Linked DNA regions of Saccharomyces cerevisiae S288C. The gene in region 1 interacts genetically with each later gene. Each region holds a gene or a part of one and is shown in the gene's direction. Other genes may lie near its edges.

Region 1 (6,305 bases):
CTTTTTCGTCTTTCTCTTCTGGTGGATCTTCCTCAAATAGACGTCACCCCATCATCCCACATCACAAATCCCGATCAATTTGGTCCAAGTGTATAACATAGTCTAGTTCAGTATTAGTATAGTATGGCAATTTATTTGACATAATTACGTATTTTTCAGGCAAGCTGGCAGGTGACCCGCCGCACCTGCACTTTTTAGGGAGTCTTTTCAAGGATATCATCACTATATATCGAAGGAAAAGAGGCTTTCCAACTCTTTTGGATGATCGAATTGCCATCACTACTCTATTAACTGTCTGTGTATTAACTAAATAATCACATAGTATTAAGTTATAATTCCTGGAAAAAAAAAGAAAGCGAAACGACAAAATTAGCATATACCATGTCTCAACTGCCAACAGATTTTGCTTCATTGATCAAGAGATTCCAATTTGTTAGTGTCCTCGATTCCAACCCTCAAACCAAAGTTATGTCCTTATTGGGAACCATTGACAACAAGGATGCTATTATCACGGCTGAAAAGACGCACTTTCTATTTGACGAAACCGTGAGAAGACCCTCTCAAGATGGCCGCTCCACTCCAGTTTTATATAATTGTGAAAACGAATATTCTTGCATCAACGGAATTCAGGAATTAAAGGAGATTACTTCCAATGATATTTACTACTGGGGTTTGTCAGTGATAAAGCAGGATATGGAGTCGAACCCTACCGCCAAGTTGAATTTAATTTGGCCTGCTACTCCAATTCATATCAAGAAATATGAACAACAAAACTTTCATTTAGTCAGAGAGACTCCTGAGATGTACAAGAGAATTGTTCAGCCTTACATCGAAGAAATGTGTAATAACGGTAGACTTAAATGGGTAAACAACATTCTTTATGAAGGCGCTGAGTCAGAAAGGGTCGTTTATAAAGATTTTTCTGAGGAGAATAAGGACGACGGCTTCCTAATTTTACCTGATATGAAATGGGATGGCATGAACTTAGACTCTTTATATCTAGTTGCGATCGTCTACAGGACCGATATCAAGACAATAAGGGATTTAAGATATTCTGACAGACAGTGGTTAATCAACTTGAACAACAAGATTAGATCCATTGTTCCTGGTTGTTACAACTATGCTGTCCATCCGGATGAGTTGAGAATTTTGGTTCACTACCAACCTTCTTATTATCATTTCCACATTCACATCGTTAACATAAAGCATCCCGGTTTAGGTAATAGTATTGCCGCGGGCAAGGCCATCTTGTTGGAAGACATCATTGAAATGTTAAATTATCTAGGACCAGAAGGCTACATGAACAAGACAATCACCTACGCTATTGGTGAAAATCATGATTTGTGGAAAAGGGGTCTGGAAGAAGAACTCACTAAACAATTGGAAAGAGATGGTATCCCAAAAATACCCAAGATTGTGAACGGTTTTAAATAAAGGTTGTTAAAATTCTCACATCATCCACCTTTTTCCTACTCTCATTTTCTTTTTTTGAAAGTTGTTTGTTTTATATACCTTAGTTTCACAACAACATAAGGCATGCCTATTTGAGATTTTGTGATTAAAAAATAATAGAATACGTACTATATAACCGTCGGTTTAAAGTAAATAAATTAAAGACTAAGAATGAAACAATTAAAAACACTGTTCAATAACGTTGCTCTATCCTCCTGAGTCTTCCGGATCCTGTCTCCATTTTTTTGTGTGGTGACGAGTTGAGATAAAAAGATTTCCACTGCTGAGAATAATATCTATAATCGATAATGAAAGTTAGAACGATCACGTTGACTCTGAAATATAGTCAATAGAAAAAATTAGGTATCAATTCAATTGTAATATTTACTGGATTGAATTTAATTTAAGAATTACAGAATAAGAGGACGGACAATAAGAGGTACGCTACACATCTACCATCACTTTCAGGGAGGGCATAAAATGGAGGAGAGTAAGACAAAAAGAAAAGAGGATCGCATAGATTTGAAGAATACACCGCCTCAGAAGAAGTCAAAAAGAGATTCAACAAATGACGAAACTGCACGCACATCACTACGTTCAATCATGCCCAGGGGTTATAAAATGATGGAAAACATGGGTTACAAAGAAGGAGAAACATTAGGTAGTAATGAAAGTGCCCTAAAAGAGCCTATTAAGGTAGAAATCAATACAAAAAGGAGGGGAATTCGTGCAGAAAAGCCCGACCCATCAACAATGAATGACATGCAGATGAGTGAACAACGATTTATAAAAAGAGAAAGTGAAATGAAAAATAATAAGCGGTTAAAAAAAATTTGGTATAGGATCCAAAAAGTTGCTTTTGAAATGATGGGTGATTCCGATTTATACAATCCAGGCGAAGATCCGAGAGACTTTAACGTACTTTGGAGATCTTACGTTATGCAACTAAATGAGGAAGTAGCAAAAAATGACCTAAATAATCACAGTAACAATGATAATGAAGATAAGAATAATATGATACCAATGGTAAATGAAAGTTTGGAGGCTTCGCCTGCAATAAAAGGTGAAAAGTTTGGACGTCCTTCTACATTAATAGATTGTGATACTTCAATTATCGGTAGTCGCATTACAAAAGACACAGAACTTGCTGAATTAGAAGAATTGAGCATTGAAAAAAGAATAACAAAATTGAATATATTCCTGAGGTCCGAGAAGTACTACTGTTTTTTTTGCGGAATCAAGTATAAGGATGAAGGTGATCTCTACGAGCATTGCCCAGGAGTGAATGAAGACGACCACAAATGAATTTTATCGAGATAGGTAAAGTCATATTTCAAGAAGAAAGAAATGAACAGCTTTTATTTATATAATAACATATAATATAAAACGGAAGAAACGGGTAAACGTCAGTTCGATTATTCTTTTGCGGATACAACCTTGAAACCTTGCTCCAATAATGCAGTGACGTCTTCATTTTTGTATGGTAGATTGTTTAGTACGAATGCAATATCATCCCATTGCTTTTGGGTCTCGCACTTTCTCAGTCTTCCAACTAATTTCTCGTTTAATTGCTTTTGGTGCCGTTCCTTATCGATAAAAGTTAACAGAAATTTGATGATTTTCTTGAAACTCTCCTTACCCAATAAATCATCTGACGATAAATTACTAAAGATATCGATGAATCCATTATAAATGGCGTTGTCCTTGGATGCTAACTCGGTGAAAAATAATCTGCACATATCACTTATTCCCTGGTCTGGATTGTCTAGGCATTTGGCCATTTCTCCTAATTGTCCTTTAACCTTAACCTGTCCAGCTAAAATCAAGAAGGTAACTGTCATTAAACATGTTCTTTGTACCATTAAGTTTTCATCATGCAAACGGCGATACAAATAATCTGTGTTTTCGTCTACTAAGTTGTTGAAGCATACTGCCATGTCACCTAGTCCTAAGACAGCATTTGAGCGAATAGTAGGATCAGGAGATTTTTCCATTACTGTGATTAATAGCGGCAGGCTCTTTTCACAATATTTTGATGATAAACACATTAGTTTTTCTAGACATAAGGTTGCCGTTCTTTGAAGCATTGGATCGCTAAACCTGCTTGAATTAGAAACAATCTCTTCTACAATTGGGCAAAACTTCCCTAATATAGATTTTTCTCCAAATAGTAATTCATTCTCTTTTACAAATTGAATAGCATCCGTGAAATCGTCCTCATTAGTACCTCCTATCATTTCTAGCTCTTTATCACCACCGTTATCTTGTGTGGTGTTAGTTACATCTGCACCTTGGTTTTTTACTTTACCGTTCCGAGTTTCTGCCTCGATCTTTCTTTTCTTGAATTCTGCCTCACATTTCTCTAGATAGACAAGTGTTTTAATTGCCACTTGTCCTACAATGAATAATAATTGACTGAGAGAAACAACTCTAGATGATTGTTCTAACGACAAAATAGAGTCTTCCTCTTCAGGTTTACCAAATGTCATCATTGTCTTTTCTCTAATCAGATCTGTAGCTAGTATATCGGGCTTAGAAGAGATTGTAAACAGTGCACTAAGCGCTTGTTCGCACATAGGATAATATTCATTATCCTTGGTATAGTTGATAATTATGGCATACAACTTTTTCACTGCAACATCTTCAAGCTCTTGATTTATTGCCTTGGTAATAATAGTGCTTCTCTTGGGAACCATTCTCTCTAACGCTAAACAAGAATACCGACAAAGGGTCAGATCTTTTAAACCAACGGCACCAAGTCCAATGTTTAAAAGTGACTCCAGTCCTTTTAATGCTATTTCGTTATCGGCTAACGATAACATTCCTAAAATAATAATAGAACCATGAATTTGTTCCTTAGAAAACCCTTTTTCGGAGTCACGGTTGTTCACATTTTGTTCTTTCTGCATACTGGCCTTCGATGCAGAATTGTAAATAGCCCAAAGGATATTAATGACATGTTGATCAATCAATTTTTGTTCATACATCATTCCTAATAGCTGTTCCAAAGAGGCCAAGTCTGCAATAGATGCGCCGATGCTTAGATTAATTAAATTTTTGGCAATATGTGCCGCCTTCTCCTGCATATTGCAACTATCTGGCGCGGTTAAAAATAGCTGCTTATAACATTCTATCAAATGTACTGATATACTCGTTCCTTCATCGTTTGTGCCCTTCATCCAAACCAAATGCAGCATTTTTTTTATACCAAATTCGCTTAACTCAATGTCAAAAGCGTCTGCTAAAACTAGGAAGTCCATTGATTCTAAAACTTCGTTTCTGTTCTTAGAAAACAGCAAATTAGATATCAATTCAATACTCTTGTGTATCTCTTTAATGAAACTAATGGCATCTTTATAGTAAACAATCATTAACTTTAGCTTCATGAGAACACTGGTATTTGTTGCATTTATATTCTCTACCTCATTTTCTATTCTAGAAAGTTCTGCGCTCTTATTGAAAGAACCTTCTAACTCGGTCCTACATTGACCTTCATCTTGTTCTACCTCTTCTTCAATCAAAGACCTTTCAATCGTGTCATTCAGAGTTTCTTGTGACTCTACTTTCTTTAAAGTGGAATTTAGCTGTGATTCAGATCCTTTGAGATATTCTTCCCATTCACTCAGCCTCAATTGGCTACCATGTATGGCCTTAAAAGGATGTTTTAGCAATAATTTTGAAAGTAACTTTACTGAGTTCCTACGAACTAAAGAGGAGCGGTCCTGCAATGATCGTACTGCCAACGAAGTAAATTTAGCTTTGCTTTTGTTAAATTTCGAACTCAAATCGCAGATCTTTGAACACCCTTGTATCGCCTTCGTTCTAACGTAGGGATTTGAATCCTGGAATCTTTCTTCTAGTAACTCAATAAGTACGGCTATTTGTTGTTTATAATGTTCCATAGTTTGTGGGTCTTGAGCCAATTCAGCCACAATATTTCCACATGCTTCTACAACGGAACATCTCAATGTTATAGAACTATTGTTGAGTAAGGTGATGACAAGATTCATCTGTCGAAGCATTATTCCTGGTGATAGCTCTGATAATTTAATCAAAAAATTTGATATTGCCTTTGGGCCTGTGGTATCCTTTGCGTTAAATACCCTGGTGCTGATTTCTTTCAAGATATCTTCTGTTAGTTGTGGATAGTTATATTCATCATTCAATAGTTTTAGTAATTCTGCATTAAAAACCGACAAATGAAGAAAATAAGTTAAATTTGTCATCAATGAACTTTGTATACTTGAACTTTGACCGTGATTTTTAACACACATAGCCAAAATCCTTTGAATAAACATCTTTAGTGATGATACCTTCGTCACAGGTTCAATCTCTAATAACACAAATAATGGTCTTGTGAACAAACCAATAAACAAATCCTTTTCAGGAGTTGTCTGAAATATCTTAGATAAGTTAATCTCCAGTAGCTTTGTTATAGATTCAAGCAAGTTTTCCATTTGATTACAGTCTCTTTTAAACAGCTCGACGTTTGCACTATCATTCTTACTGTTTTTGGCAGAACGGTTTAGATTGGTAGACTGCGAGGAGACCTTATGTAACTCATCTTGTAAAAACGTCAAAAGTACCTGAATAAGGTAGCCATACTCTTCTAAATGCCTTTTCCACTGCGGTATCAGGCCACCAATTTCAGTAAAGTTAACATTTGATGAGAGATTAGCCTTAATATCTTTTGACAGATTCGACAGAGATGAACTTATCAAATAGCTTAGTTGAGTTTGTAATTTCGGTGTTAAGTGCGGGAAGTCATGGCAAAGATCTATTAATGCTTCTAGTGAATCTGGACTAGCATCTATTTGTTCGGGTGAAACGGCCAATTGGTCTATGATAACATT
Region 2 (4,794 bases), on another chromosome or scaffold:
GATACTTCCTTTTTTGGTATAGCAGAATGTCTGAATTTAGTTGCTATAGATCCTCGTTCAGAAGCGTATTGCTAAGCCTATCTCCAGTATACCCTAAACGATCGCCGAGAAAAAATAATACTGTACCCTCCTATTTCCCGGAATTGTACAGAATAGTAGGTATGTGCTGGGAGTCGTATATTGTTAGAGTCTGTAATTTTTACGCGCGCCTAGTGGATTCGTTGATACGATTACGTTATTCTAAACCGTCGCAAAGCAAATTGTGTTGAAGTAATTCAAGACTTTAAATCACTTGTACCAAAATCATTGTTGCGAAAACTTATCCTCAGTATTAGTTTCTTGACCGTAACAGTAGTTGAAAAAAATAAAATCATTTCTATGATCGATACACTTTCATTATTTAACTTCTCTATTATGGTGTAACTTCTTACTTTTGTCAGAAAAAAAGATTTCAAGACACAACAAGAATGGGGTCAAAGGTCTGCTTGTACTATCAGGAAGATTTGATACCAACCGCGTTATAAGGGTTACTAGAAAGTAATAGCTGCTAAAAAATTTAAACCGAAGAGATTAATCAGAAAGCTGAAAAACTGCAGTGTTAGTAGAGTTGTAAGCATTTCTTGATTGGAACAGCCTTCCCCCACACGTCCACCCTTGTTCAGACAGATTCGTAATGATTTTGTGTGTAGGCAATGGAAAACTTTAAAAACGGTTTGATTTCCTACAAGATAAAACATATGAATAAAATAACTTGTGTCAAATGCCCCATTTCCATACTGTAACCCAAATCAACGAAATAAAAAATAAAACCTCATATGATTTACTTTATTTAGTCATAAAAAAACAAAAAAAAAAAAAAAAAAAAGGAAACAAGACAATCCTTTATAGTTTGTTTCCATCATGAAACCTATGACCAGCATATATACAATCGTCCCCCAGTTCCTCTTCGATACGCAAAAGTTCATTATACTTGGCCAGTCTTTCTGATCTCGACAAAGCGCCCGATTTAATTTGACCACATCTTAAACCAACGACCAAATCAGCGATAAACGGATCTTCGGTTTCACCTGATCTATGCGATATCATTACACCCCATCCAGCATCGAAAGCCTGATTGGCGGCTTCAATAGACTCAGTCAGAGTACCGATCTGGTTGAGTTTCAGCAACAGAGTATTCGCACATTTCTCCTCTATAGCACGGGCGATCCTGGTCTTGTTGGTGCATGTCAGGTCATCTGCAATAATCTGAACATTGACAGTCTTTAGGAAGGCAGACCACGAGGACCAATCATCTTCGGCGTAGGGATCTTCCAGGGAAATGATTGGGTATTTCTTTAGCAATGAATGGTAATATTCTGCTAACTGGGCTGGACTGAGCCAGTGAGATGGGTCAGAGTTCGGTTCCTTGAAATTTAGGTCGTATTTCCCGTCCTTATAAAAAACAGAAGGAGCACTATCGATTCCTACTTTCACTCTACCCTCGTAACCGCATATGTTAATGGCTTCCACAATCATGTCCAAGGCGTCTTCGGCAGTGTCAATATCGGGGGCAACTCCACCCTCGTCACCAACATTTCCAGCGGAAGGTCCATATTGCTCCTTCGCCAATATCTTCAAATGATGGTAAACTTCCGAACCCATCCTCATGGCTTCTGCAAAGCTCTGAGCCCCGACTGGCGCGATCTTGAATTCTTGCATAGCTAAAGAGCCACCGGCGTGGGCTCCACCATTCAAAACATTGAAAAAAGGAACAGGAATAACAAAGGGGTCCTGTCTAGCATCCGCTAACTCGGCTATATACTTGTAGAGAGTAATTCCCTTTTGTGCGGCAGCAGCTCGAGCAACGCACAAGGAAACACCAAGGATAGCATTGGCGCCCAACCTTGACTTGTTAGAAGTTCCGTCTAACGATATCATGAGCTCGTCTATGCCCTTCTGATTGGTTACACATAATTCGGACTTGATTAAAGCAGGCCCTATGATACTATTGACGTTACTGACTGCCTTGGTCACCCCTTTTCCCATCCATTCGGACTTGTTCCCGTCTCTAAGTTCAACAGCTTCGTGAATGCCGGTGGAGGCACCAGATGGGACGATCGCTCTGAAGAGACCATTCTCTGTTGTAATTTCAACCTCAACAGTCGGATTGCCGCGAGAATCATACACCGTTCTAGCATGTACCTTCGTGATGGACATATTTTTATCGTTGAGATTCGATTTTTTCCTCACCTTGTTTTGGTATTTCTATTGCAAGACAAAGTGAAAGAAGAAGAAGTGGTGGTAAAAAATAACTATATATAATGAAAATTGTAACCTGGTGGGAGTGCAAACTGTAAGTGATAACCTGCCAGATCCATGTTTCTATTATATACCTAAGAACCAGCCAAGTTAGGTAAACGAGGAGTCTTTCAATATCTCTTTTCTAGTGAGAATGTTATTTAGGTAAATGAACAAGTTACCACTATACTACTCACCCCCTACACTTTGTTTGTGACCTCTCCCCTTATCCAGTTCATCGAAACTTTTTTTTCAACTTGTGGCGATCTGTGACATTGTCTACTACAAGAACCGATTTTGGTTGATGTCTGTAAAAAAAACAACCTTACCTTTCCAGATCCAACTTTCCAGGAGAGCTGCGTGAGTTTCAAATATTTACCATGTCGGAGAAAGCTCCCAAGTACTTCCTTGTTCTTGTCATTTTTTCCTTATCTCCATCCTTTAAGGAAGGTATTTCCATTATGCGATTCTATAAATCCGAGCATGCGAGTATTTCTTTTCTTGGCGCGGAGTCGCTGATGACGCAATAGGCACATTCACGAACATCCAGGACTGGTAATCTTCTCGTCTTAAAGAAAATCCAACCACCAGTAAGAAACTCTTGGGTAAAATGGGGTATCTGAAATATTGCATAGCTGCAAATGAAGATATTCAGTATCAGCATAGGTATTTTTATGGAGGATAGGTAAAGAGAAAGAAAAAAAAAAATATCTTTCTGACTGTCGTTCTTGCAATTATCACAATTAGGGGACTTTAAAACCGATACTTGATATATGAGCACAGTCAAGGGGTCGGTTCTTGAGATTTTAATGGAAAACAGGAAAGTTGCACATACAGGTCTGCTTTTCTTTGCTTGCTCCAGACAACGATACTTAGAACTAAAACATATTTCTAGAACACTTTTCTCCTTCATTCAAAAAGAAAACTGGCCTTGCAATGACTCCAAAAAGAGCGCTAATATCTCTTACTTCATACCACGGTCCCTTCTACAAAGATGGTGCGAAAACAGGCGTTTTTGTAGTTGAGATTTTGCGATCGTTCGATACATTCGAAAAGCATGGTTTCGAAGTGGACTTCGTTTCTGAGACTGGTGGATTTGGCTGGGATGAACATTACTTGCCAAAGAGCTTTATTGGTGGCGAAGATAAGATGAACTTTGAAACGAAAAATTCCGCCTTCAATAAGGCGTTAGCGAGGATCAAGACCGCAAATGAAGTCAACGCCAGCGACTATAAAGTATTCTTTGCATCTGCTGGACATGGTGCTCTATTTGACTATCCCAAAGCTAAAAATCTGCAAGATATTGCATCCAAGATATATGCCAATGGGGGTGTGATCGCTGCCATCTGTCATGGACCGCTCCTTTTCGATGGATTAATAGATATCAAAACAACAAGACCATTAATCGAAGGCAAAGCTATAACAGGTTTCCCACTCGAGGGTGAAATCGCCCTGGGAGTTGACGACATCTTGAGGAGCAGAAAATTGACAACGGTTGAACGCGTTGCAAACAAGAATGGAGCCAAGTACTTGGCGCCAATCCATCCCTGGGATGACTACTCTATTACAGATGGAAAGCTAGTTACGGGTGTTAACGCAAATTCTTCCTATTCGACCACAATTAGAGCTATAAACGCATTATATAGCTGAAACAAAAGACAAGGGAATTGTTGAAGGGGAGGCTTTTAATGACTTTCAGTTTCTGTGAAGAGAAGGCTAACAGCTCAATGGTTCGAAAGGTAAAGAAAACGGCAGGTCGGTAGCACTCGATTTTGCTAGAATGGAAATCATATAGAGAACAATTGAATAGTAGGCCTTGGTTTTTAGTGTTGTATTCATCATGGTCATATGTGACATAGGTAATGTACATATATATATAAAAAAAAAAAAAAGCAATGCTGTGAGATCATTCGTTACTTACGAAATACGCAGATTGCAATTTGAAATAAGCTGTGTTTTCTTTTTTTTCCTTTTTTTTTCTTTTTTTTGGCTTGTTATATACAACTTTTTTCTATTTCTGTTCTTTTTATGAGTAATTAATTGGTACATGGGAAATAAATATGAATTATATTAAATGAAGTAAAAGTAAAAGAAAACGGGGAAATTTATCGTTTTGTAGTAAATAGATGATGGAACGCATTCATAAAATCTCACAAAATATTACAATAAACCGCAGTAGTGGGTAAAAATGTATTATACAACGTCTAAAATCTTGAAAATGAATTAAAAAAAAAAAAAAAAAAAGTGGGATGATTATGCAGGGAAAAGTATAAAGAAAAGATCCTAACAAATCGGGTTGGTCAATCCTCTAGTCCAAGCATAGGATCCGAGAGTTATCACCAATAAGCAATATGAAATTGCAATCGAAACAGTATAATAAATAAGCATGTTAATAAATGATAGCTTATACCCTTCATTGATAAACGTGCTAATGGTACTCAAAGTGCCGCAAAATCCGGATATTAACGCAGAAACAATATGACATGAATTCAACGAGTTCACAATTGGAACGTCCGT
Region 3 (5,157 bases), on another chromosome or scaffold:
ACATGAGCAATTTGTTAAAGGATGCAGTGCAGATATAGGCTACTTAGTTGGTTTTGATACAATTGCTAGGATCTTTGATGAAAAATATTATCATCCTTTAAAAATCAGTGATGTAATGGAGAGCTTCATGTCGGGATCTCAATTATATTGCTTGGCGAGAGGCGATTGCCATCTCAGTGCTGAATCGCAACTAAGATACGCCAGTGACATCCTTGAGGGAAAATTCGAACCGGTAATACCAAGAGAATGGGGCGCTAGGATTCATGTTATGCAAAATGATTATCCAGCATTAAGAAATGTTTCATCATCCGAGATTAGGAACAAACTGAAGAATGGGCAAGTGGAGAGTTTGAAAGACGAGTTGCCATTGTGCATATACGATTATTTGATCAATAATAAGACAATATTTGATTGAAAGAGAAAGATAGAAATTCAAATGCCTTTCATGGAGATATATGTATATAGATAAAGATAATATTAGGAACAAAAAAAACTTTCTGTTATACTAGACTAGTAATCTTAAAACAATAACATAGCAACAAGGCATGTACCAAAAAGAAGGGGGTCCAATTGCATGCTTGGATTTGCTGAGTTCGCGTATTTTGAAATCACTCTTTTCTTGGAGTCTTCACCTTCTTGCGTTAAATCTTTGTACCCTTTTTCTATGATTGTACCATCCTGTTTAACATTCAGCGTATTTTCCTTCTTACCAGAAATACAAGTGAATTTCCCACCCCTGATGATTGATCTTCCATTTGATGGGTTTGTCCATTTATTGCAATCCAACACGTTTGATGAACTCTTAATAAAAGCGCTACCTTTCACCAGTTTCAAGCTATCGAACATGATATCTTTGAACGAACCTTCAAAGAAAATAGCACCTCCAATCTGCTTCAAGTTTGGCAGGAAAGTAATATCCTCGAGGGATTCGTTATCGGCGATCATCAAGCCACCTTGAATGTCTGTTAAGTTCTCCAAATTAACTTTTATTAAATTTACATTGTTGATAATTCCTAATGTTCCACCAATCTTCTGCAAATTGTTCAGGTTCAATTCGTAAAAGTAATTTTCGATGAACTCTAAAGAGCTTTTCACTTTTGTTAATTGTGGAAGGTAGACCAATGATGTGTCCCTAATCGTTATGTTTTCCACTTCTCTCAAGTGTGGCATTTCAAGTTCTAGCTCCTTAGCGTTCGCATGTACACTGAATTGTCCCCTAATGGTTTTAACGTTCGAATGAATAGTTTCTAAAAATCTGTTATTATTGATATTGAAAGTATCAATTTCCTGAACCTTGTTGAAATTCTCGATGTTTGCTAATGAAGTATCCGATATGACAATATCCTTTATAATCTCAATATTCTGAGAATCCATGGAGACGTAGTTCAAGATGGGAACAACTTTCCACTCCAGTGACTGACAAAATTTCAAAGTTGGAATTTCAACAGAAACCAAAGAGGTTAGTCCCTGTAATTGGAAGAGCCCTTCGATTTTATTCAAGTTCCCGGCTTGGATTCTGATCAGTTCAGGTGAATCCTGAATAATCAGGTCACCACCAATGGCCCTCAAGCTGTTCAAATCCAAAATGTTAGAATCATAGTTTGTGACTTTTAATGACCCCAAGATGAATTCACATTGGTTTTGTAAATGAAAAAGATCATGAGACGATTCAATGACGTGCAAATCTTTTTTACACAACTCTGATATCGGTGAGTTTGTGTTCAGACTCTTGACATCTATTTCAAAAAACGGTTCATTTGCTCTTCTTTGAAGTTCGAGATTACCGTTATGAAAAGGCTTCACATTATGTGGTCGCCTTGGCGGATCAATAGCGGCACCCAATGCATGTGTCACAAATAATGATGCAAATATAATCGCGAATAAACAACTTTTCCTAGTAATACGGTTCATAAGTCGATCAAGTAATGAAAAAATGGCTTTTGGTTTTCCTTGTTGTATTTCAGATGAGATATCTTACCAACAGAACAAGTTTCTCTATTGTATGTCACAAAAGGATATAGCTTCTCCAAAATCTTTCTTTTTTATATTTTTTTTTTTTTTTTTTTTTTTGAATTAGTGACGCATCTTCTGTACAGTAAAGAGAGAAAAAAAGGGTATAATAAAACAGTTAAGCTATACTATAGTAGCGCATACACACAACGTATATACATCTAGTATTAAATATTAGTAATTATTAAATAACGAAAAAATAAATTATGGTTGAAATAGAATCAAACGTAAAGAACAAAGAAAAAGCTTAATGGAACGAAAGTTAAAAAGCTCCCCAATTTTGAACAACGGTTATGGAATTAGAAAGAAAGAAAAAAATAAAGGAAATAAAAATGTTCCTAGAATAAGAAGGCAACACCGGCAGCGATTGCTGCTCCAAAGGCACCCGCCGCCATGGTATTAACTACGGCTTCGCCAATCGAAACTGTCGTAGTCACCGAAGCGGTAGGAAGAGTAGTATTTGGCTGCGTAGCATTTGGCTGCGTAGCATTTGGAGTAGTGGCGTTAGGTTCAATGCCAACTTGGGCGTTGATAGCAGTGACTGTAGCTAGAACAGCGACAATGTTTTTGATTTGCATTATTTAACGGAAGTATAAGGTTTGAAAAGGGAGCTTTAATTGTTTTAGCCGTTATCGATTTAGCGGTGAGAATGAAATAAAGAAAAGAGGAAGAAAAGACATTACATACAAATTTTTTTCAACTTAAATGGAGGTTATGTACTTTCTTATATAGATGCTAATCTTTTTTTTTCATCTCATCACAGATTTACGTCGTCAATCTACTAACTTCCCTTATCTTCCCTAAAGGGTATCTTACGTTTCCCCTTAGGGAAAATGAGTTTTGTCCCACCTTCCCTTTGGGAAAAGGCAATGTAAATCTTAGAGGCAAGAACCACACTTGTTGATAAGATCAGCTGCGTAACAGTGCGCTAGGCAAAGGGATGGAATAAGATAAATCCCTTGTTATCCCTTTGCTTTTAGTCTTATGTTGGGGAAGTCCACAAGTTATTGTTACATAAAGGAGGAGAAGAAAACTAGGGGAATATTTATAACACTCGCATTAGCTGATCGTAGGAAAGCAACACAAAACATATGCATCAGCTGGCCCTGTTTGTCTTGCTCATCGATTGATTTTGCAAGCAAAGCTGGGATACCCGAATGTGTATGGTTTTCCTTTTTTTGGTATTTTTCTCCTATAAACGAGCTTTTTTTCGTCTTGCATTCAGATTTAAATAGCTGCTTCTAAATATATACTTTACGCAAGAGGGTCCGGTCCCAATAGGAACCAAGCTATTGCAATTCCAGGGTTCAAGAGAGAAAAATCTGTAATCACTTCGAACCAATGTTTAGTAAATACCTCGTAACTGCATCTTCCCTCTTTGTGGCTTTGACCTCTGCAGCATCTACCGTTGATCTAGATGCTCTGCTTCTTCTACCAGGGGTCGAGTCCCACGACGGCGTTGATACTGTATTTTCGACCAAAGACTTTTATCAAGTGTCATTCGTCAAATCCATTGCTCCTGCTATCGTAAACAGCTCCGTAATCTTCCACGATGTTTCTCGTGGTGTGGCTATGGGCAATGTCAAGAGCAGAGCAAGTATCTTCAACCCAGAGGAAACGTATTACGATTGGGAACAGTACCAAGTAGTAAATAACGGAGACTGGCGAACCGAATGGGCACCTGCCTCTGACTGCATTTGGAGGGAGGAGAAGGATAACAGCGACGAAACACCGGACAGATTCCCCATCTCGGTGCCATATAATTGGACGTCACAGTACTCAATTGTAGATTATGACACAGACGCTAACGAAGACAATTTAGATTTCAGGTTTATTAAATCATTGCTAGATAAGAAAAATTGGTTGAAAAAAATTAACCAGACTGTTTCCCAATCCAGTATTATGGTAGCACCAATGATTAGGCCATACAATGTGGTCCAGCTTTGGTATTCAAAAGATATGGTTTGGGCAAACGTCCAAAGACAATATTGTAGCGGTGTTTATCCAGGAGGGACTCAATGTAGCGCTTGGTCCAGGTACTACCATGTTGATGCACCCACCTGCGATGAGCCTGTCGCCTCTTACATGACCAAAATGTTGGAAAATGAGGTTCAGTGTCCCAATGAGAGAAACGCAACTACCCTAGAGCCTCTCCGCCTGAATAAGCAGGGAGACTCTGATTTTTCTTTGACTTTCGAGGAAGAGGAAGAGGAAGAGACAGGATCTAAATCTCTTTGGAGTACATTGAAAAAAATTTTCTCTAAAAGAAGTATAAGTTGATCTTAGTTGGTAGCACTTTGATGAGGTCTCTAGCAAAAAGTCTACAAACAAATTCTTGAAAGTGTTTGATTGTATATCGATATATCAGAAACATACATATGATTTTTATCTTGTGAATATTCATCAAACTCCGTTTTTAGCCCCCGTGTAAGTTACTTTAATGAGTATTTGATCCTTTTTTTTATTGTGTTGGTTTTTATATGTTTTGTTATGTATTGTTTATTTTCCCTTTAATTTTAGGATATGAAAACAAGAATTTATCAAAGAAAAAAATCTTAGCTTTAAGAACTACAAAGTAAATAAAAAATAATAAATCACACCGGACAGTACATGAAACTGGACATATTTGAGGAATTTCTTTTGAAGAGTTGAGCATTCAAACTGGCCGGTCTTGCTGTGGCCTCAATCCACTTGAGCTCCAAAGAAGGCTCTGAAATGCTTATTTTTTTCAAGCGATACAAAGTAAACAGTTACATACCTGAATGATACTACCACAACTATTTACATTATCGTCCTGTCAAAAGGCGAATAATCAGAACTGTTTGTTAACATGTCATTTTATAAGAGCGGCCTGAAATACTGTCATAAGTGGTCTGTCGAAAGTAGTTATTACGGCGTCGGGCGTCGCGAATAGCTCAAAAGTCACCCCAGCTTACACGATATTCCCATAACCTACAGCAAGAAGCTATTCTTGGATACAAGCACCAGTTACAAGCACTGCATTCATATATTGCCTTTTACTTTCCTATTCTGTATTTGTGTGCTAAGTGTCCTGTTTCGGAACGTTCTAGAAGATTTTCTTATTTTTCTCTTTTTCAGTTTTTTTTTCATCACGCAAAGGAAATACAATACAAGGTTAAAATGAAG

The links. A genetic interaction does not mean that the proteins touch.
Region 2: mutations in CMG1 (region 1) and HSP33 together harm fitness more than expected from each alone (negative genetic interaction), as found in Saccharomyces cerevisiae (one large-scale study listed by BioGRID).
Region 3: mutations in CMG1 (region 1) and YCL049C together harm fitness more than expected from each alone (negative genetic interaction), as found in Saccharomyces cerevisiae (one large-scale study listed by BioGRID).

The regions. Positions count from the first base shown.
Region 1 is NC_001144.5:680,805-687,109, forward strand, and holds CMG1 (Cmg1p), read left to right. Parts: upstream 1-1,932; coding exon 1,933-2,757; downstream 2,758-6,305. Other genes in the region: SNAP receptor SEC22, read left to right, coding at 1-40; DCS1 (5'-(N(7)-methyl 5'-triphosphoguanosine)-(mRNA) diphosphatase), read left to right, coding at 382-1,434; condensin subunit YCS4, read right to left, coding at 2,868-6,305.
Region 2 is NC_001147.6:1,077,678-1,082,471, reverse strand, and holds HSP33 (glutathione-independent methylglyoxalase family protein), read left to right. Parts: upstream 1-3,213; coding exon 3,214-3,927; downstream 3,928-4,794. Other genes in the region: phosphopyruvate hydratase ERR1, read right to left, coding at 883-2,196; FEX1 (fluoride transporter), read right to left, coding at 4,561-4,794.
Region 3 is NC_001135.5:38,919-44,075, reverse strand, and holds YCL049C (uncharacterized protein), read left to right. Parts: upstream 1-3,351; coding exon 3,352-4,290; downstream 4,291-5,157. Other genes in the region: POF1 (nicotinamide-nucleotide adenylyltransferase), read left to right, coding at 1-415; SPS22 (Sps22p), read right to left, coding at 520-1,911; YCL048W-A (uncharacterized protein), read right to left, coding at 2,349-2,588.